Linked DNA regions of Saccharomyces cerevisiae S288C. The gene in region 3 interacts genetically with the main gene of each other region. Each region holds a gene or a part of one and is shown on either strand. Other genes may lie near its edges.

What was found.
Region 1: mutations in ALK2 (region 3) and ROG1 together harm fitness more than expected from each alone (negative genetic interaction), as found in Saccharomyces cerevisiae (2 studies listed by BioGRID).
Region 2: mutations in ALK2 (region 3) and SST2 together harm fitness more than expected from each alone (negative genetic interaction), as found in Saccharomyces cerevisiae (2 studies listed by BioGRID).
Region 4: mutations in ALK2 (region 3) and PSO2 together harm fitness more than expected from each alone (negative genetic interaction), as found in Saccharomyces cerevisiae (2 studies listed by BioGRID).

What each region holds. Positions count from the first base shown.
Region 1 is NC_001139.9:231,950-236,120, reverse strand, and holds ROG1 (putative lipase ROG1), read left to right. Parts: upstream 1-1,613; coding exon 1,614-3,671; downstream 3,672-4,171. Other genes in the region: MRF1 (Mrf1p), read left to right, coding at 163-1,404; TIP20 (Tip20p), read right to left, coding at 3,773-4,171.
Region 2 is NC_001144.5:1,038,643-1,043,293, forward strand, and holds SST2 (GTPase-activating protein SST2), read right to left. Parts: upstream 2,725-4,651; coding exon 628-2,724; downstream 1-627. Other genes in the region: leucine-responsive transcriptional regulator LEU3, read left to right, coding at 1-111; RIF2 (Rif2p), read right to left, coding at 3,157-4,344. UniProt on the Saccharomyces cerevisiae protein: Desensitization to alpha-factor pheromone. Is involved in regulating the signaling pathway for responding to mating pheromone.
Region 3 is NC_001134.8:205,222-209,724, forward strand, and holds ALK2 (protein kinase ALK2), read left to right. Parts: upstream 1-1,972; coding exon 1,973-4,003; downstream 4,004-4,503. Other genes in the region: bifunctional glycerol-3-phosphate/glycerone-phosphate O-acyltransferase SCT1, read left to right, coding at 1-596; LAA2 (Laa2p), read right to left, coding at 886-1,728; YBL008W-A (uncharacterized protein), read left to right, coding at 4,188-4,427; HIR1 (Hir1p), read left to right, coding at 4,432-4,503. UniProt on the Saccharomyces cerevisiae protein: Serine/threonine haspin-like protein kinase involved in cell cycle regulation.
Region 4 is NC_001145.3:542,473-546,587, forward strand, and holds PSO2 (DNA cross-link repair protein PSO2), read right to left. Parts: upstream 2,492-4,115; coding exon 506-2,491; downstream 1-505. Other genes in the region: GAT2 (Gat2p), read left to right, coding at 1-409; Arf family GTPase CIN4, read left to right, coding at 2,683-3,258; serine/threonine protein kinase RIM11, read left to right, coding at 3,653-4,115. UniProt on the Saccharomyces cerevisiae protein: Required for DNA interstrand cross-link repair. This requires cleavage of cross-linked DNA to generate DNA double strand breaks (DSBs).

The DNA.
Region 1 (4,171 bases), on a different chromosome or scaffold from region 3:
ATCTGTACTAGGCTGAGTAATTGTGTATTTCATATACTTGTTAGGAGGATTTGCTCGCTCGGAGGATAAATACAGAGCGTTAATAGTGCGTATCATATGTTTTATAATATCTCAGGAATGAAAAGTTCGTAGAGCAGAACAATATATTTCATTGGTGCAAGCATGTGGCTTTCAAAGTTCCAGTTCCCCTCGAGGTCCATCTTTAAGGGTGTTTTTTTGGGTCACAAGTTGCCGTTACTAGTGCGACTGACATCAACAACGACTAACTCTAAGAGCAACGGCAGCATCCCAACACAATACACAGAACTCTCTCCGTTACTTGTTAAGCAAGCGGAAAAGTATGAAGCTGAACTAAAAGATCTTGACAAAGACCTTTCTTGCGGCATTCATTTTGACGTGAATAAGCAGAAACATTATGCTAAATTATCAGCGCTCACTGATACATTTATTGAGTATAAGGAAAAACTAAATGAATTGAAAAGTTTACAAGAAATGATTGTATCTGATCCATCATTAAGGGCGGAGGCTGAACAAGAATATGCAGAACTGGTCCCCCAATATGAAACGACCTCCTCAAGATTGGTAAATAAACTTCTTCCACCGCATCCGTTCGCAGATAAACCTAGCTTACTAGAGCTTCGACCGGGTGTAGGTGGCATTGAAGCCATGATTTTTACCCAGAATCTATTGGATATGTATATTGGCTATGCCAACTATAGAAAATGGAAGTATCGAATTATATCGAAAAATGAAAACGAAAGTGGGTCAGGCATTATCGATGCCATTCTGAGCATTGAAGAAGCCGGATCTTACGATCGTTTGAGGTTTGAAGCAGGCGTTCACAGGGTGCAGAGAATTCCTAGTACGGAGACTAAAGGAAGGACGCACACATCCACTGCTGCCGTGGTTGTGTTACCTCAAATTGGTGACGAATCTGCTAAATCTATTGACGCTTATGAAAGAACATTTAAACCTGGTGAAATCAGAGTTGACATCATGCGTGCAAGCGGGAAAGGTGGTCAACATGTGAATACGACAGACTCTGCTGTCAGATTAACCCATATCCCCTCTGGAATTGTTGTTTCCATGCAAGATGAAAGATCTCAACACAAGAATAAGGCTAAAGCATTTACGATCTTAAGAGCGAGACTTGCAGAGAAGGAAAGGCTGGAAAAGGAGGAAAAAGAAAGAAAAGCAAGAAAGAGTCAGGTTTCTAGCACCAATAGGTCTGATAAAATTAGAACATACAATTTTCCACAGAACAGAATCACTGATCATAGGTGCGGGTTCACATTGTTGGACCTGCCAGGTGTGTTATCTGGAGAACGATTGGACGAAGTTATTGAGGCAATGTCTAAATATGATAGCACCGAACGGGCAAAAGAATTATTGGAGAGTAACTGACGAACGTAACTTTTCGTTTCTTGTAAATATCATATCGTATCTATCACTTCTGTAAATCTTCTTTTCTATTGTTCTGCGCCACGTAAGAACTGACGCACATAGTAGATGCCCGAAATATGCAAAACTCTGTGAAATAAATTGTACCGCCTCAACAGTTCAGTAAGAATAGTACACAAAGAGAGTGAAGTACGAACCGTGTTTTGCTCAAGATGTCTCTGACACCAACTAATGAAATATTGTTTCATTACAAGTCTTCAGTGAAGGTTGGTGAACTTGAGAGATATGTAATTACTTATCATCTTTATGACGGTGAGGAAATTCCACCAGATTTGAATTTAAATTCCTTGTGGTTAAAGGTGAGAAATATGAATCCGTTATCGTATAGAGCTGCGTACCTAATGGGTCCATTCATGCTTTATTGCGATGTAAAAACTGCCCAATATCATCATTCCCAAAAAATAGTTGCTTCAGTTGATTACCCCAAATTTGAACCGAATGTGCAAACTCAACAAGATTTCGTGGCTGAACTTTCAGTACATAACATACGACAGAAATACGTATGGATTGCTGATGTGATGAGTCAAATATTGTTCACTACAAATACGAACGTCACTTACGAAGTCACTATTGGAACTAGTAAAGAGTCAGTAGAAAATCCGCATGATCTGCCATCTCATCTAGGTTCTTATAGCCCTAAACTTACAGTGAACAGGTTAACTACCTTGGATTTGTGGAATCTTCCCGTTCAGATTACCACACCACAGAAAAAGAAACATCTTGTAGTTTTGACACATGGTTTACATTCTAATGTGTCGACCGATCTAGTGTATATTATGGAACAGATATACAAAGCACAAAAGAATTATCCCCACGAACAAATTGTTGTGAAAGGTTATAGGGGAAATGTCTGTCAAACTGAGAAGGGAGTTAAGTATTTAGGTACTCGTTTGGCCGAATATATTATCCAGGATTTGTACGATGAATCCATCCGCAAGATTTCTTTTGTAGGTCATTCATTGGGTGGCCTAATCCAGGCTTTCGCAATAGCGTACATTTATGAAGTCTACCCTTGGTTTTTTAAAAAGGTGAATCCAATAAATTTTATTACTTTAGCTTCACCGCTTTTAGGTATAGTCACAGATAATCCCGCCTATATTAAAGTACTACTTTCATTCGGGGTTATTGGAAAAACAGGTCAAGACTTGGGTTTGGAAAATGATGTTGAAGTAGGCAAACCGCTTCTCTACTTGCTATCTGGTCTGCCCTTGATAGAGATTTTGCGTAGGTTCAAAAGGAGGACAGTATATGCGAACGCTATTAATGACGGAATTGTCCCATTGTATACCGCATCGCTATTGTTCCTAGACTATAATGATATCTTGGAGCAATTACAGAAACTAAAGGAGAACAGCAAAAAATCACCGCTAATAAATGATGCTTCAACACCTGTGAATCAAGATTTCTTCAATAAAACTTTCATTTCGCCTCTGACTAAAATGTTGAGTATACTGGCGCCACAAAAGTTTCCTACGGAGAATGGTTCCGAAATTCCTAAAGTATCATTTTTCGAGTCAGCAAGCTCAATTCTCCTTCCTCCTTTACCTGAAAGAGCGTACATAATGGATCCAGATTCAAGAGATCCTGTAATTATTCATGATAAGATATACAATGAGGATGACATTCCACAATCCGAATTTGATATCGAAGACGGTTTTTTTGGTAAAAAGAATATACTCCTTCAGGCTTTTTTTGCAGGAAAGAAAGAACGTGCGAAGTATCGAAATTTGGAAGAAACGATTGCTCGAAGGTGGCATGAAGGAATGGCATGGAGAAAGGTTGTCGTTGCTTTAAAACCTGACGCTCACAACAACATTATAGTCCGAAGAAAGTTTGCCAACGCATACGGTTGGCCCGTTATCGATCATCTGATAGATGTCCACTTCAATGGTGATGACGATGACGATAACGATGAAAATGACGATATCAATTCCACACAAGTTGTTGAACCTATTCAGAGCGTAACCGAAGGAAAGAAAAAGTATAGGAAAGCTGAAAACATTCCTCAAGAATATGGATGGTTGAATAAGGTTGAAACAAACGGAGTCTTTGACGAAGGTCCTACGGGAATGATATCAACTGTTGGTGAAATAGTCGAGGCGTTAGCTAAAAGAGGATTTAGCGCCGTAATCGACAGGAGAAATGCCTCGGAAGATCCGAATGATGAGGTCCTTCGGTTTGAAGAAATGAATAGTGATTTGGTACAATGATAGAGCTTTATATATTTATTTACGGTTTATAGAATGGTCTGGAGTTACATTTGGAATAATACTCGTCTTGTTGATTTTTTTCCTTCTCTTTTTTTTACGAGCTATAATATGTTACCATATATAATCCTATAGAGTGCATCTTGAATCTTCGTGTCCTTCAAGTACTTAATGGAATAAGCTTCTTTCAATGATGTGAAATTACCTGTTTTAATGTATTCTGGGTTTAAAAACTGCTGATTGTTTGGATCATACTTTAGCTTTAATATTTTTACTAGTTCGTGTAAACTCATACATTTATAATTGGTAGCATGTGACGGTAAGCTCAAAATGCTGCTTAAAGATTTAAAATCATGTAAAAACTGATTTAAACCGTTTTGATTAAATTTGTTCAACTTTAGAATTGACTCCGTAAAATAGTTAACAATAACATTTAACAATTCGTTCTTAACCTTTAATGAAATAGCTAGTGGGATATCCATTGAATCCAATTTGTTGATCAA
Region 2 (4,651 bases), on a different chromosome or scaffold from region 3:
AAAGAATCACCCAATTCCATCATGGCAGGTTGGGATAACTGGGAATCTGATATGGTTTGGAGGGATGTTGATATTTTAATGAATGAATTTGCGTTCAATCCCAAGGTTTAAAGTCCTTTTCTTTTTTTGCGTAATGTTTACTTACCCTCGAAAAAATGTTATGTAATGACTGCGGTGCTACAGGAGAGGTAAATGATTTTCTATATACGTTTATATTTCTTCCATTTACGCACACTATTTTTTGTCCTTGAATAATTTAACTCAAAAAAAGTGTAAAAAACTGTGTCATTAGGTATATGTTCAATACTTTTGATCTTCAAATGACGTAAAAAAAAGTTTTCAGACGGACTTAAACCGCCAACCAGCCTTGGCCACAGGTGTATGATGCGAAGATTCGTAAGCGCTCACGTTAGTCACATCTCAGGATTGGAAATTATACTAGATAATAAATGGCTTTATTTAATCATATTATAGTTGATATAACAAATCACACCTCCGCTTAATTTATACGTAATAGTATTTACAGTCCTTATGGGTATCAAGACATATTAGGTTAGGAGAACTAAAGAAAAAAAAAAGGACTGTTTGTGCAATTGTACCTGAAGATGAGTAAGACTCTCAATGAAATTAGCACTTTTCTTGGATTTCTATTAAAGCGCTAGCATCTTTGTATACGTCTGACTGGGTAAATTTTTGAAAGGAATCGTTATTCATCAGTCTATACATTTCATTGCTAACGATCTCGAAGAGGGGATATAATTTCCTGAGGACCTTCAAAGTTGCTGGAAATGATTCAACCGATTTGGTATCATTTTGGGTGTTGTCCATGCCATAACGAACAATTGTATGTGAATTTTCTACTGATGCATTAGGCGAATGCGTTTCTGCCAGAGTTAACGGGGCAGGTTTATATTCCTTTAACTGATGTTTGAATCCTTGCTTCTTAAATGAACAGTTTTCATTTGAAAGATTTTTTGAAGGTTTTAGACTCACTTCAGGTGGTTCACCTAACGTGTCAGCCTCCGTTGAGCTAATTGATGAAGCTGCTGATTCCGCGGATGCAGGTGATGGATCGTATAGATTAGTAGGAAAGTGTTCCGATAATGGAGAATGAGGGTGCAACATGATGTCAGAAATATTCTGACGCAAGTTATGATGGATATTTAATTGATATGGTGATCCTATCATGATATAGGACGAATAAATGTGATATGCCATTTCAAGGCACTCATTGGCCTGTTTCATTAAAGCTGAATCAATCGTTTTTACGATATTGTTTTTTGAAGTACTGGTATTAGATTTTTTATCACAATGCTTAGAATCTATCAATTTTTTCAGAATTGTCATTTTCTTCAAAAACCTCTTAATCTCAATGAAGACATCCAAATTTTCTACACAAAGTTCCTTTTCTAAATGGCGCCTGAATAAATATCTCATACCTGGATCAGTTAGCACATAGTCCAGTTTATTTAAATTACTCGAAGAGATAAGCATGTCTTGAGAAAAACCTTCACTATCATCCAATGTCTTTTTTTCATCACGAACAGTCATATGACCCCTTAATGTGAAATCTAGGTCTATGGTGCTACCATTTGGTGCTCTAATATTATTGCTCTTACAACCTGTCCAAGAAACCAAATCCCAACCACGCTTGGACAAGGTAAAAAAAGAGGACCTGCTAATTTGAAACTTTTTCTTGTCAGTGCGTGATGGTTGTAAAAGAACTGGTACAATCAACCCCGTTTTTAAAAATAACGCTGCCAACGAGACCGCTTCTTTAACATGCATAATATCAGTACAGTCCATTATCCACTGCCATATAGCCTTTGTTGTAAAGGTGTACTTAATCACGATTTTTTTGGAAGTGCCAAACGTCTTATTTTCAAACAACCTAATACCTGCATTCGAAACGTAGTATTGCGTGTGCGACTCAGAATCTGGATTTGTAAAGAATCGATGAGCTAATGGCGATACCCTTTCTAAGTCATTTATATCGATGTTTCCAATCTGAGCTTGCCATCCTTGTTCTGGCTTAGATTTCTCAAAAGTAAATGTATCATCATTATTAGTGTATTCCAACAACGAAGATAGGCAAGGTAATGGGTCATCTGCGTTTGTTGGAGACCAAACATTTGGCTTAGCGCCCATCATTTTAATGAAAAGAATATGGATCAAATAATCACTATGGATGATTGAATCCGTGACAGAGCTTCTCTCAAAAGTGAAAAGTTTCATGGAGTTAAACGATGACAAAAGAATATCAGGCATTGTTTTCAACCCAATATCTCTAACATACTTTTGTAAAACAGCAACTCCCTTAGGTGTTGGTTGGAAAAGAACTTTCTCTTTTGGCTCGCCACGAGTTCTGTCCTGCGGTGTATGTAGTAGCTTAGAAGACATAAATAATGTAAGAAGGTGGCGCGCCAAACTAGGTTTAATATTATATGAAACGTTAATACAAGTTGTGTTCATATCCACTTTTAGTTCCAATTGTCCCATTGCTTTAATAGCTTCCTGATATGTAAAAGTGAAGTGGAAATGTTTAGTGAATGCAGTTAATAAGAAAGACTTAGTGTCACTACTATGTTTTTTCTCTTTCAAATCCAAACAAATTAGAAAAATGGAATATACTGTCTTTAAATCATTGGTAAAGATCAGTCCATTCGGCGTTCTGCTGAAATTTTTGGAAGATAATTCATGCAACGTCCTATTTTTATCCACCATCTTACAACTCTATCTTTAATTACCAAATTGAACCTATAACGCCTCAGATAGTGCGTGCAAAACCTAGAAGGAACGTACGACAGTAACACCTCCAAAGTTAAAGGACGATGAGAAGTAAAGACAGAGCTGGGATTATGATTTCATTCACCGGTATAAATATAACAGGACAGACAACAATTCTAACGCACCAGCAACCAAATCCAAGTCCTAGTCAAAAAAAAAGCAGTATTGGGATCATTGTTTCAAAATTGAATATTATGAAACGTTTAAAACCCAGACATCCCATAATTATTGAAGATGATTCAGTTAAAACTTCGCATACTTCATGGCTTCTTCATTAATAGAGACAACGGAGGTGGTTCAACTTGAACTTTTCCAAAGGAGTTGCCATCTCTTTGTATTGTTCGAACTCTTTCAAAAGACCTTGGTAATTTATCTATCATGTACTTTTCGAGTTAACTTAAGTGGAAGACGCTGGTTTTTCTTAAAGTTATAAGCACTATGTGGGTAATTTTTTATTGTCAGTCTGTTTCTGATCTTATCCAACAATTCATCAAAAGTTCTACTCTGGACTATAATCTCAGTGTAAGCGTTAAACAAATAGGTAAAAGGGTGCGGAAAGACCTTCAAAAATTCGAAAAAGATTGCTAAGTTGGATTCTTTATTATTCAACTGGCATGTGACAAGCGAGTTGTAAGACTGTAATAACTTGCTTCCGGAATCAAAGGTAAACTTTATCATTTTTTTCAAATATTCTTGTTCTTGAGCGCATGTTAATATCGGCATCTCAAACACAGTATATTTTGTGTTGAGTTTCTTTTTGAGGGATGTCGATAGGAGAGACGAAATGCTAACGTTATTTGAATAAATGAGGACCTTAAATGCAATGTTATTACTTTTTTCAAGTACCGATAAAACATTGATAAATTCGGTAAGCTTCGAAGGTTCTATTATAGTTGAAGTAGATAATTTATCTAATTGTTCGAATTTGAAGTAGACAATATGATCGATACTTTCGTCATTATTTATTTTCCTCATAACCATCATCATTAGGTCAGACGTGTGATTTGAAGGTTTTTCACTAGCTTCGAAATCTAGTTGTCCGCTATATGAAGCCTGCCCCATTGACTCGATACATTCTTTTGATTTGCTTGATTGAATACCCTCTTTCATTAAGTAGTCATTCATTTCTATAATTACGACATTTATATCGACTAAAGACAGTGTTTCTGAAACTGCACGGTCGATACCAGCATATTGGTGTATATGTTCAACTTTGTCGAAGAAAACGATACAATTTTTCATACTCCTAAGATTTTTTGAAAGAAACTTACTTAAGCTCGGAACGTAGCTTATTGACAAATAATTGGTGCCTAGCTCTTGCAAGGCCATTGATTTGAACTTCTGGTAGAAAACATGGTCCACTCGCTCCTTAACTGGACTCGGCTTACACACCTTTGGGCTGCTAACACTTTTTTTAATTGGAACAAGGTTCAACTTTCTCAGTACAGTAAAATTTTTTTGCTCCAAATCATCGCTTATTGCTTTCACAATCTTGTCACTGTCAACAACCTTTTTCGATCTCCTTATAGGTGCAAAATCGGAATCTACATGCTCCATTGTCTCTATATACTAACCACGTTCGTATTTATATCTATATTCGTACATATATTGTTCTAACTTATTGAAATTGATGGTTAAGAAGATCCCTTCTGTACATATCTGTAAGCGCAATGTTTTCTTCATTGAAAACAGCTGCAAAATTAGAAAACTAAAATAATAACTTTCAAGATAACTAAGCCGGGTTGCCCTTTGACCTAGAAGCATCCCTTATAATAACATTATGTGTATGAAAACCATGTCAGCAAGAACGGTTACGGATATGGAGTGAAGCAAAATCTTTAAGGATTTATTTACATTGAAGAGG
Region 3 (4,503 bases):
TTACATCTCCAAAGGGCTTGCAAAAGCTACAAAAGGATCGTAGAAATCTGGCAGAAAGAATAATCGAAGTTGTAAATAACTTTGGAAGCGAATTATTCCCCGATTTCGATAGTGCCGCCCTACGTGAAGAATTCGACGTCATCGATGAAGAGGAAGAAGATCGAAAAACCTCAGAATTGAATCGCAGGAAAATGCTAAGAAAACAGAAAATAAAAAGACAAGAAAAAGATTCGTCATCACCTATCATCAGCCAACGTGACAACCACGATGCCTATGAACACCATAACCAAGATTCCGATGGCGTCTCATTGGTCAATAGTGACAATTCCCTCTCTAACATTCCATTATTCTCTTCTACTTTTCATCGTAAGTCAGAGTCTTCCTTAGCTTCGACATCCGTTGCACCTTCTTCTTCCTCCGAATTTGAGGTAGAAAACGAAATCTTGGAGGAAAAAAATGGATTAGCAAGTAAAATCGCACAGGCCGTCTTAAACAAGAGAATTGGTGAAAATACTGCCAGGGAAGAGGAAGAGGAAGAAGAAGAGGAAGAAGAAGAAGAGGAAGAAGAAGAAGAAGGGAAAGAAGGAGATGCGTAGATGCCATTTACTGACGGTGAAGATACTAGAAACTAAATCTTTCGCCGTTCTATTTATGTAATAAACCCATTATTGCTCATTGGGAGTTGTAAATATTAATGCTCAATGTTTATGTATATCCCTCGCACAGGGGCTTTTTATTTCTTGAGGGGGGGACTAATTGTATAATTGTATGTTTTATAAAAAAGTATATTGCTCTTTTACGACTTTTGGTCTGGTCCCCTATGCTACTAATAACATTTTATTCTCTTCAAACTTCAACGTTCAACCTGCTTTGCCGAGACGGCGATTAGTATCCTACCCAACTGAACCTTTTCTTTTTGTTTCGCTTTTTGTTATACAATGCAATTTCGTCTCGCTGTAGTCTTTGGGTATGTCCTGTCAAATTCGTCACTACATTTTCAAAAGTTGTCTTATCCTTTAGGAGGTCTCGCTGTTGTTTCTTCAATGATCTTGATTTACTAACCAAAAAGTCAATGGATTGACACAATGTATCGTGGTATTGGCGTAAAGATTCTTCATCCATACTAGTAAAATCTGCCATAAGCAATTGCGGTATATGCTGCTCTTGCTCACGCTCCTCTTCCTTTTGAAGAGATTTTAAAGTCATTGGTGGTGTATAGTCAATTTTGAAATTATCCCTCAGGAAGAGACCAGTAGCCGTTTGCTCATTTTTCTCCACTGCATCGCATATCCTTTTGAACAACTCATCATTCAACGGTTCTTCCTCCCTCTTCGTACCAACACCCTCAGAGCCATTATTATCCGATAATCTCAAAATGTGGAGCAAGTTTCTGCGTATATGAGATTTATTCCATATGAATGGCTGTAACACAGGATCTAATTGTACGAGTTGTTCATAAATGACATGGGGTCGTTCATCTTCAATAAGTTTGCTCAGCTTGAAACAGTCATTCTTTATGGTTTCTTCTTCCAGGTCAAATTCTCCCTTTGGTAGTATCTTATTCAAGCAGTTATCTACTACAGATTCGGAAGACGTCGTTAAAGTAGAATTCTGGTTATAGAGGTCATTTTCAACTGAGGCATCTGAAAAATTCCCAAAATCATCACTAGAATCACTTTCTGCATCTAATGCATTTGTGACAGGTTCTATCTGATCTCTATCGCTCATTTGCTTGCTTTGAAAGAGGTGCCTTTTTCTATCTTGCTACACCTTAAATTCTCGTTTGTGATACGCCTAACGTTTTTTTTTTTTTTCAGTTTTGATAGCAATTCGCGAAACTTTTTGTAACATCTTCTCTTCTCGAAAAGCGAAAATAGTAAACAATAACTTAAAGCGTATTGGTATTAATATATTTAGTTGTAGTAAAATCATTTCACCAAACACACATACATGCGCTATTTGTATTGAGAAAATGAATTTTGATGCGGTAGCAGATCAACAGATGACTGACAGAAGGTATTTTGCTCTCGAAGTAGCAGAAAGCGATGATGCCGACAGCTCATTAAATTCTTCATCCATGGGAAGCCCCGCAGTGGATGTAGGAAGAAAAGTTTACAAAATCACTTCGCACAAGGGTTCAGCAGAAGATGAGAGTCAATCCTTTTTTACTTCTTCAGATTCTCCAACATCCAAAACAAGGCCTGTAGGTAAAACCATCGAAAACGATGATTACTATGGTAAAAGATCTTCTACAGGTTCATCGCTCAAACAACTCTTCAATAAAATTAATATTAATGATACCGCTCACTCTTCAAACAAAGAAAATGTATCTCAGTCGGTGCTATCGGAAAACAAGCTGCTCTCTCCATCTAAAAGGTTGTCGAAGCAAGGTCTTACAAAGGTGACTAACTCCAAGTTTCGTACACCCTTGAGACCTATTTCAAACCAATCGACTTTATCAAGGGATGAGCCTGTTAAAGATTTTAGATCACTTAAGTTTCGGAGCGGTAGTGATTTCAAATGCTGGGGTGACGAGAAGACAAGTTCTCATGTTCATTCATCCAGTGTGAACTCAGTTAATTCCTTTACTTCTACCACCTCTTCTTCAAAGTGGAAGTTCTGGAAAAATGATAACCTATTGTCGAGGTCGCTATCTTCCAGATCTGTGAATGACCAAGATCCGAACTTTGTTCAGCCAAAACCAACCAATTCGTTACAAAAGAAGTCTTCAATTTCAAGTTTTCACAATTCTATTTTTGGTGGTGGCAAACACACAGAGAAGAAGAGGAATTCTGGATTTATTATGCCCGATCATCAGAGCACGAAGGAGCTAAACCACAAACATTCATCATCGAACCTTTCCTTTAGAAGTTTGAAGCATAAAACATCACATTCTTCACTAAATAAGCTCAAAGTAAGGCGTAAAGGAAATACACAAGAACTGAATCATCCGATCAAAAAAACTTGCCAAATATCATTGCCTGTTCCAGACCAAGTCTCAAAGGACAAGATTCAACTGAAATTGAAAAATTCAACATCATTGGCATCCTTATCTTCAGAAGTCACTCCCATAAACACTTTGGACTACAATGATTCAATTTTGCAACAAATATTACAACTTTGTGATGTTAAGTATATATTACATGATCTACGTGAAGCTCAGTCATTAGGCTTGTTTACGTTGAATACTAGATCGGTTCAGCTGTCTCATAACTTTTGGCAAACTTATCATAGCGATATGCAAACTTCACTCATTTGCAAGAAAGTATGTCTAGGGGCTCTAAGTGATTTGACTACTTCAAACTTGATATCCTTACATGAATTGAAATCATTACGGTTAATACAAGGAACTAGCGGTGTCGCCAATTTACTGCAAGCTTATGTTGTGCCCTCAAATCAATGTGAAAATGACCAAAACTTGATACTGTACTTATTTTTCAAATACCAGGGAACTCCTCTATCAAGGTGCTCTAACATTGATTACTCTCAAGCATTGTCTATTTTCTGGCAGTGCAGCAGTATTTTATATGTTGCTGAATCCAAATTTCAGCTCGAACACAGGAATCTAACTTTGGACCATATTTTGATAGACTCTAAAGGGAATGTTACTTTAATTGATATGAAGTGCTGTCGTTTCTTGAATATAGACAACAATAAGGCTTCCTATACAAGATTAGACCATCATTATTTCTTCCAAGGCCGGGGGACTCTTCAATTCGAGATATATGAACTGATGAGAAGCATGCTGCCTCAGCCAATATCCTGGGCTACATTTGAACCAAGAACAAACCTATTATGGTTATATCACCTAAGTAGCAGCCTGCTAAAAATGGCCAAAAAAGCCGTAGTCAGCGGCGCTTTGAACCGGGAAGAAAATATCTTAATCGAGTTGACGCACTTACTCGATCCTGCTCGAAAACATTCCAAAACAATTTTCAAAAAGGAACTTGTTATAAGAACTTGCGGTGATTTGTTATCTTTGAAGGGAGAAATAATGCAGTAAAGACATCGTAGTAATAAGGTGCAAGCTTTTGTATCCTTCTTAATGATTTGTAAGCAAAAAAAAATTACGTACATCAATTTGTAATGGAAAGGAAATAAATAGTATAATATGAACACTCTTTCTGAGAACAGTTATCTTTAGCTTGCCCCACAAACTGAAAGCACATTTTTAAAATGTTTTACAGATGAAAATGAACCCTTGTACTGTTATCCTCTGTAAGTCGTTATTTTTCTTTTGCCTTTTTCAGGTTGACTGCTACTGTAATCGTAAGAATATTCAAAATCAATCATCTCGCATCGCAACAAAAATAAAACGAAGTTACTGGTTTAGGTGGCAGAAACATATAATATTGGCGAACATTCATAAAATAATTAAGGCTTACCAACGAAGCATAATAAAATTGCCAGTAACCAAAGGTCTCTGATAACATGAAAGTGGTAAAGTTTCCATGGTTGGCTCACCGTGAAGAATCGCGAAAATATGAAATATACACAGTCGAT
Region 4 (4,115 bases), on a different chromosome or scaffold from region 3:
TATTCAGAGACAACCCACGCTGACCACTTCCAGCCATTTCATCAATAATTCCAATCCTGGTGCTGCTGCAGTTTCAACGACAACTCCCGCCGCTAATAGCGATGAAAAGAATCCTAATGCAAAAAAAATCATCGAGTTTTGTTTCCATTGCGGGGAGACCGAGACTCCAGAATGGAGAAAGGGACCATATGGCACAAGAACTTTGTGTAATGCCTGTGGGTTATTTTATAGGAAAGTCACCAAGAAATTTGGCTCAAAAAGCAGTAATTTGTTGTTAAGATATAGAAGATCTATTGATTTAGCCAACGATCGTAGAATTCCTGATTTTATCACTATTCCAAACAGGTTTATTCATGATATGGATAATGATCAAACGTTGGACTCTGAGTATAATACGATATTGCAATAATATAAAATCATACATTCATATAATATCCATTACGTACGTACATCTTACATAACACATTTTTACCCCCTTTTCTTTTTTTTGTTTTCCTTTTTTGTTTTATTTAGCCGCCCGCGTTTTCCTAACGTTTTCCCAACATTGAAACCAATTCGTCATATACCTCACTTTCCATAAATTGTTTAGATTCACAGTGGGAATGACTTCAGAACACTTCAATTTACAACCAAATTTCACTAAATCGTTAAAACTACTGTGTTCAGAATATGGTACGTTAAAAACTTGAAATTTGTTGTACTTTTTGTATTGCCTCAATATACTCGAGATTTCAAACCCATTCTCATCATCATTATCTCGATCATTCTTCATTAGTTCTAAGCAATATTCTGTATTGCCACTCATTTCATTCTCATCATCATCGTTTTTCTTTTGATATTTTAAACCAAAATTGTGACTCCACCCGGTAGGTATAAACCCGACAACATCTTCAATGTCTTTCACATAGTCTGTTTCCAATTCTTTTAAACTTTTCAAGTAAGCTTCTATGGTTTCTTGACTTTTCAACACTCTTATAGGTACCAAATGTACGGATGATTCATGTAAATTGCTGGTGAGTAAGCTTTCGTCCCACATGTCATTTTGATTTTCGTTGTTTTGTAAAACTGTTAGCATCATTGAAAATTTAACGGAATTCGGCATAACAAATAATTTTGTTTTCAAAAATTCACATATCTTGATGGCTAGCTTCTCTTTTCCAATAGTATATGTTCCCACAAGAAATAGGACCCTGTAACGATGAGTTGTCAATGTTTTCTTTCTCTGAAAGTGAAAAAGGTTCCTTTGTGAATCTCCAAATGTTTTGTTTTTACCATGTTTTATAAGCCGTAATGTAAAATCAGCCACAGTCTCGCACACAGAATGTTGTGAAGGAAAGTTGTATCCCATAGTCATATATGTTGTATCTAAATAAACTTGGTCAATAGTTTCATTCGCTGTCTCGGCCAACCACTTCTGAATTGTCTCAATCATTTTGGCGTTGCTTCGAAAATCCCCCGTGTGAAGAATTTGTCTTATAGGCTTATCATACGAATTTGCCAGAAACTCCTGGAAAAGCATTATTATTGCACCGGGACAATGGTTAGCGTCCAACGTAACTACTGAAATGGTATCTGTTATCCAAAAGCGTTTATTCATGGGTAAAATTTGGATTTCATCCATTGGAATTTTGAATTTTAAATTTACTAATATTGCAGTGATCTTAGAACAGTAAAGTGTTTTCTTGATCGGATTCTCATCAGGATTGTTCCAAGATTTTTTGAGTCCAATATAGTGATCAGAATGAAAATGAGAAAGAAAGTACTGAGAGATAGTCTCGCTGGCCTTATAATTGAAACCATCCACAACTATTTCGTGGCCATTATTGAACTTAATTATCTTGAAACTTGGTAAAACAAGTTTTACTCTTGTTGGTTTTTTTGACGTAGCTATATCCCTCTTCGTTTTTGCAGGAGATGATGGATTAGAAATAAAGCTCCTGATATTCTTTTTAGGTGTTCCCATATTGCTCGGGTCACTGCCTATGCAAGTATCACAGTGTGTCTCTCTTTCGTACAATTCTAAATGAGAAAGGTTTTCTAGACAAATAGGACATTGAATAACTTCTGTAGAGACTTTAACATTTACTTGCTCCTCCAATTCCGTTACTATTCGATCTTCGGTCCTATTTTCTATTGCGCTGACTTCGTTATCATGCAAGCTAACTAGTTCTTCCTCGTCTGTGTCTATGGTGATTTCGACCTTTGCAGTGTCTTCAAGGCAAATGCTATTGTGATCGTCATCGTTAATAATTACTGGCTCTGTATTCTTATTGGATGTTGAACAACTGAACCTTGAGAATGAATATGAACTGGAACGGACAGGTAAGTTCGATGAAGTTGGGATGTTGAATTCTGTCAAAGTTCTCTGCCTTTTAGAGGATGTATGTGTGTTCTTATGAAGAGTTTTCCCCTCACTTGTACTGCTAGCGGTGCTACTTCGTTTCCGCTTTACTTCAGATCTTCTTATTTGCACTATAGATTTCCTTGACATAATCAACCGACCACCCAAATTAGTCACTAGTGCGTATGCTGCTTAACATGAGTTTTGACGCAGGTATTTGATTATGTTTATATTGCTATTTTACTAGTACTTTTTCAGTCCGTTTCCATGACAAAATCTAAAAAGCCATCGCACTAATTTATAAAGATAATAAGAGGGAAGCTTAAGGTGTAGAAGAATACATGGGACTACTAAGTATTATCAGGAAACAGAAGCTCAGGGACAAAGAAATTCGCTGTCTGATTCTAGGACTAGACAATTCGGGGAAGTCAACGATAGTAAACAAACTATTGCCCAAGGATGAGCAAAATAACGATGGTATAATGCCTACTGTGGGTTTTCAAATACATAGTCTGATGATAAAAGATGTGACAATATCTCTATGGGACATTGGGGGGCAACGCACATTAAGGCCATTTTGGGATAACTATTTTGATAAGACACAAGCGATGATATGGTGTATAGATGTGAGCCTTTCAATGCGGTTTGACGAAACCTTGCAAGAACTAAAAGAATTAATCAATAGAGACGAAAATCGAATAGGATACGAGTGTGCTGTTATCGTTGTGTTGAACAAGATTGATTTAGTGGAGGACAAGTCCGAGCTTCATCGAAGGTGTTTACTGGTAGAGAGCGAGTTGAAGTGTCTGTTCAAGCCGGACATCCGAATAGAGCTCGTCAAATGTAGTGGCGTTACCGGAGAAGGTATTGATAACCTGCGTGACCGTCTGGTGGAATCCTGCCATTTTACCCAATAATCGTCTAAGATGTGAGCACCATATAAAAACTTTAAATAATGTCAGTATTTATAGCGTGATAGTTCATTACCCGCCGACTGTGCGCATTCGTGGCTTCTGCTCACTCCGGATAATAATACTACCAAGGGGTTCTGTAAGGCTTGCGGGTTACAAAGCACGGGTCCATTGAAGATCTTACACAAGAAGGAGTGGTAGGAAGACCAGCAGATTATTTCCAATCGGTCGTTGCCATTGTCTTATTTCCTTTTCTTTCTGGCGCATTGCATTTTAACACCTTTTTTTCCAGAATAGCCAACCACCGACGTCTGATTCACACATTACTGGGCAAGATCTTGACATAGCATTACATTACAACACGGCAACACTAATCACGCAACGCTAGAACTCGCGCAGGATGAATATTCAAAGCAATAATTCTCCGAATCTCAGTAATAACATAGTGTCAAAACAGGTTTACTACGCCCATCCTCCACCTACGATAGACCCGAATGATCCGGTGCAGATATCTTTCCCTACCACCGAAGTAGTTGGGCATGGTTCGTTTGGTGTGGTATTTGCCACTGTTATTCAAGAAACTAATGAAAAAGTTGCTATTAAGAAAGTCCTGCAAGATAAACGATTCAAGAACAGAGAGCTGGAAATAATGAAAATGCTGAGTCACATAAATATAATAGATCTGAAGTACTTTTTCTATGAAAGGGACTCCCAAGATGAGATTTATTTAAATTTGATACTAGAATACATGCCACAATCTTTGTACCAGAGGTTACGTCATTTCGTCCATCAACGTACGCCGATGTCAAGATTGGAAATAAAGTACTACATGTTTCAATTGTTCAAGTCATTGAATTACCTCC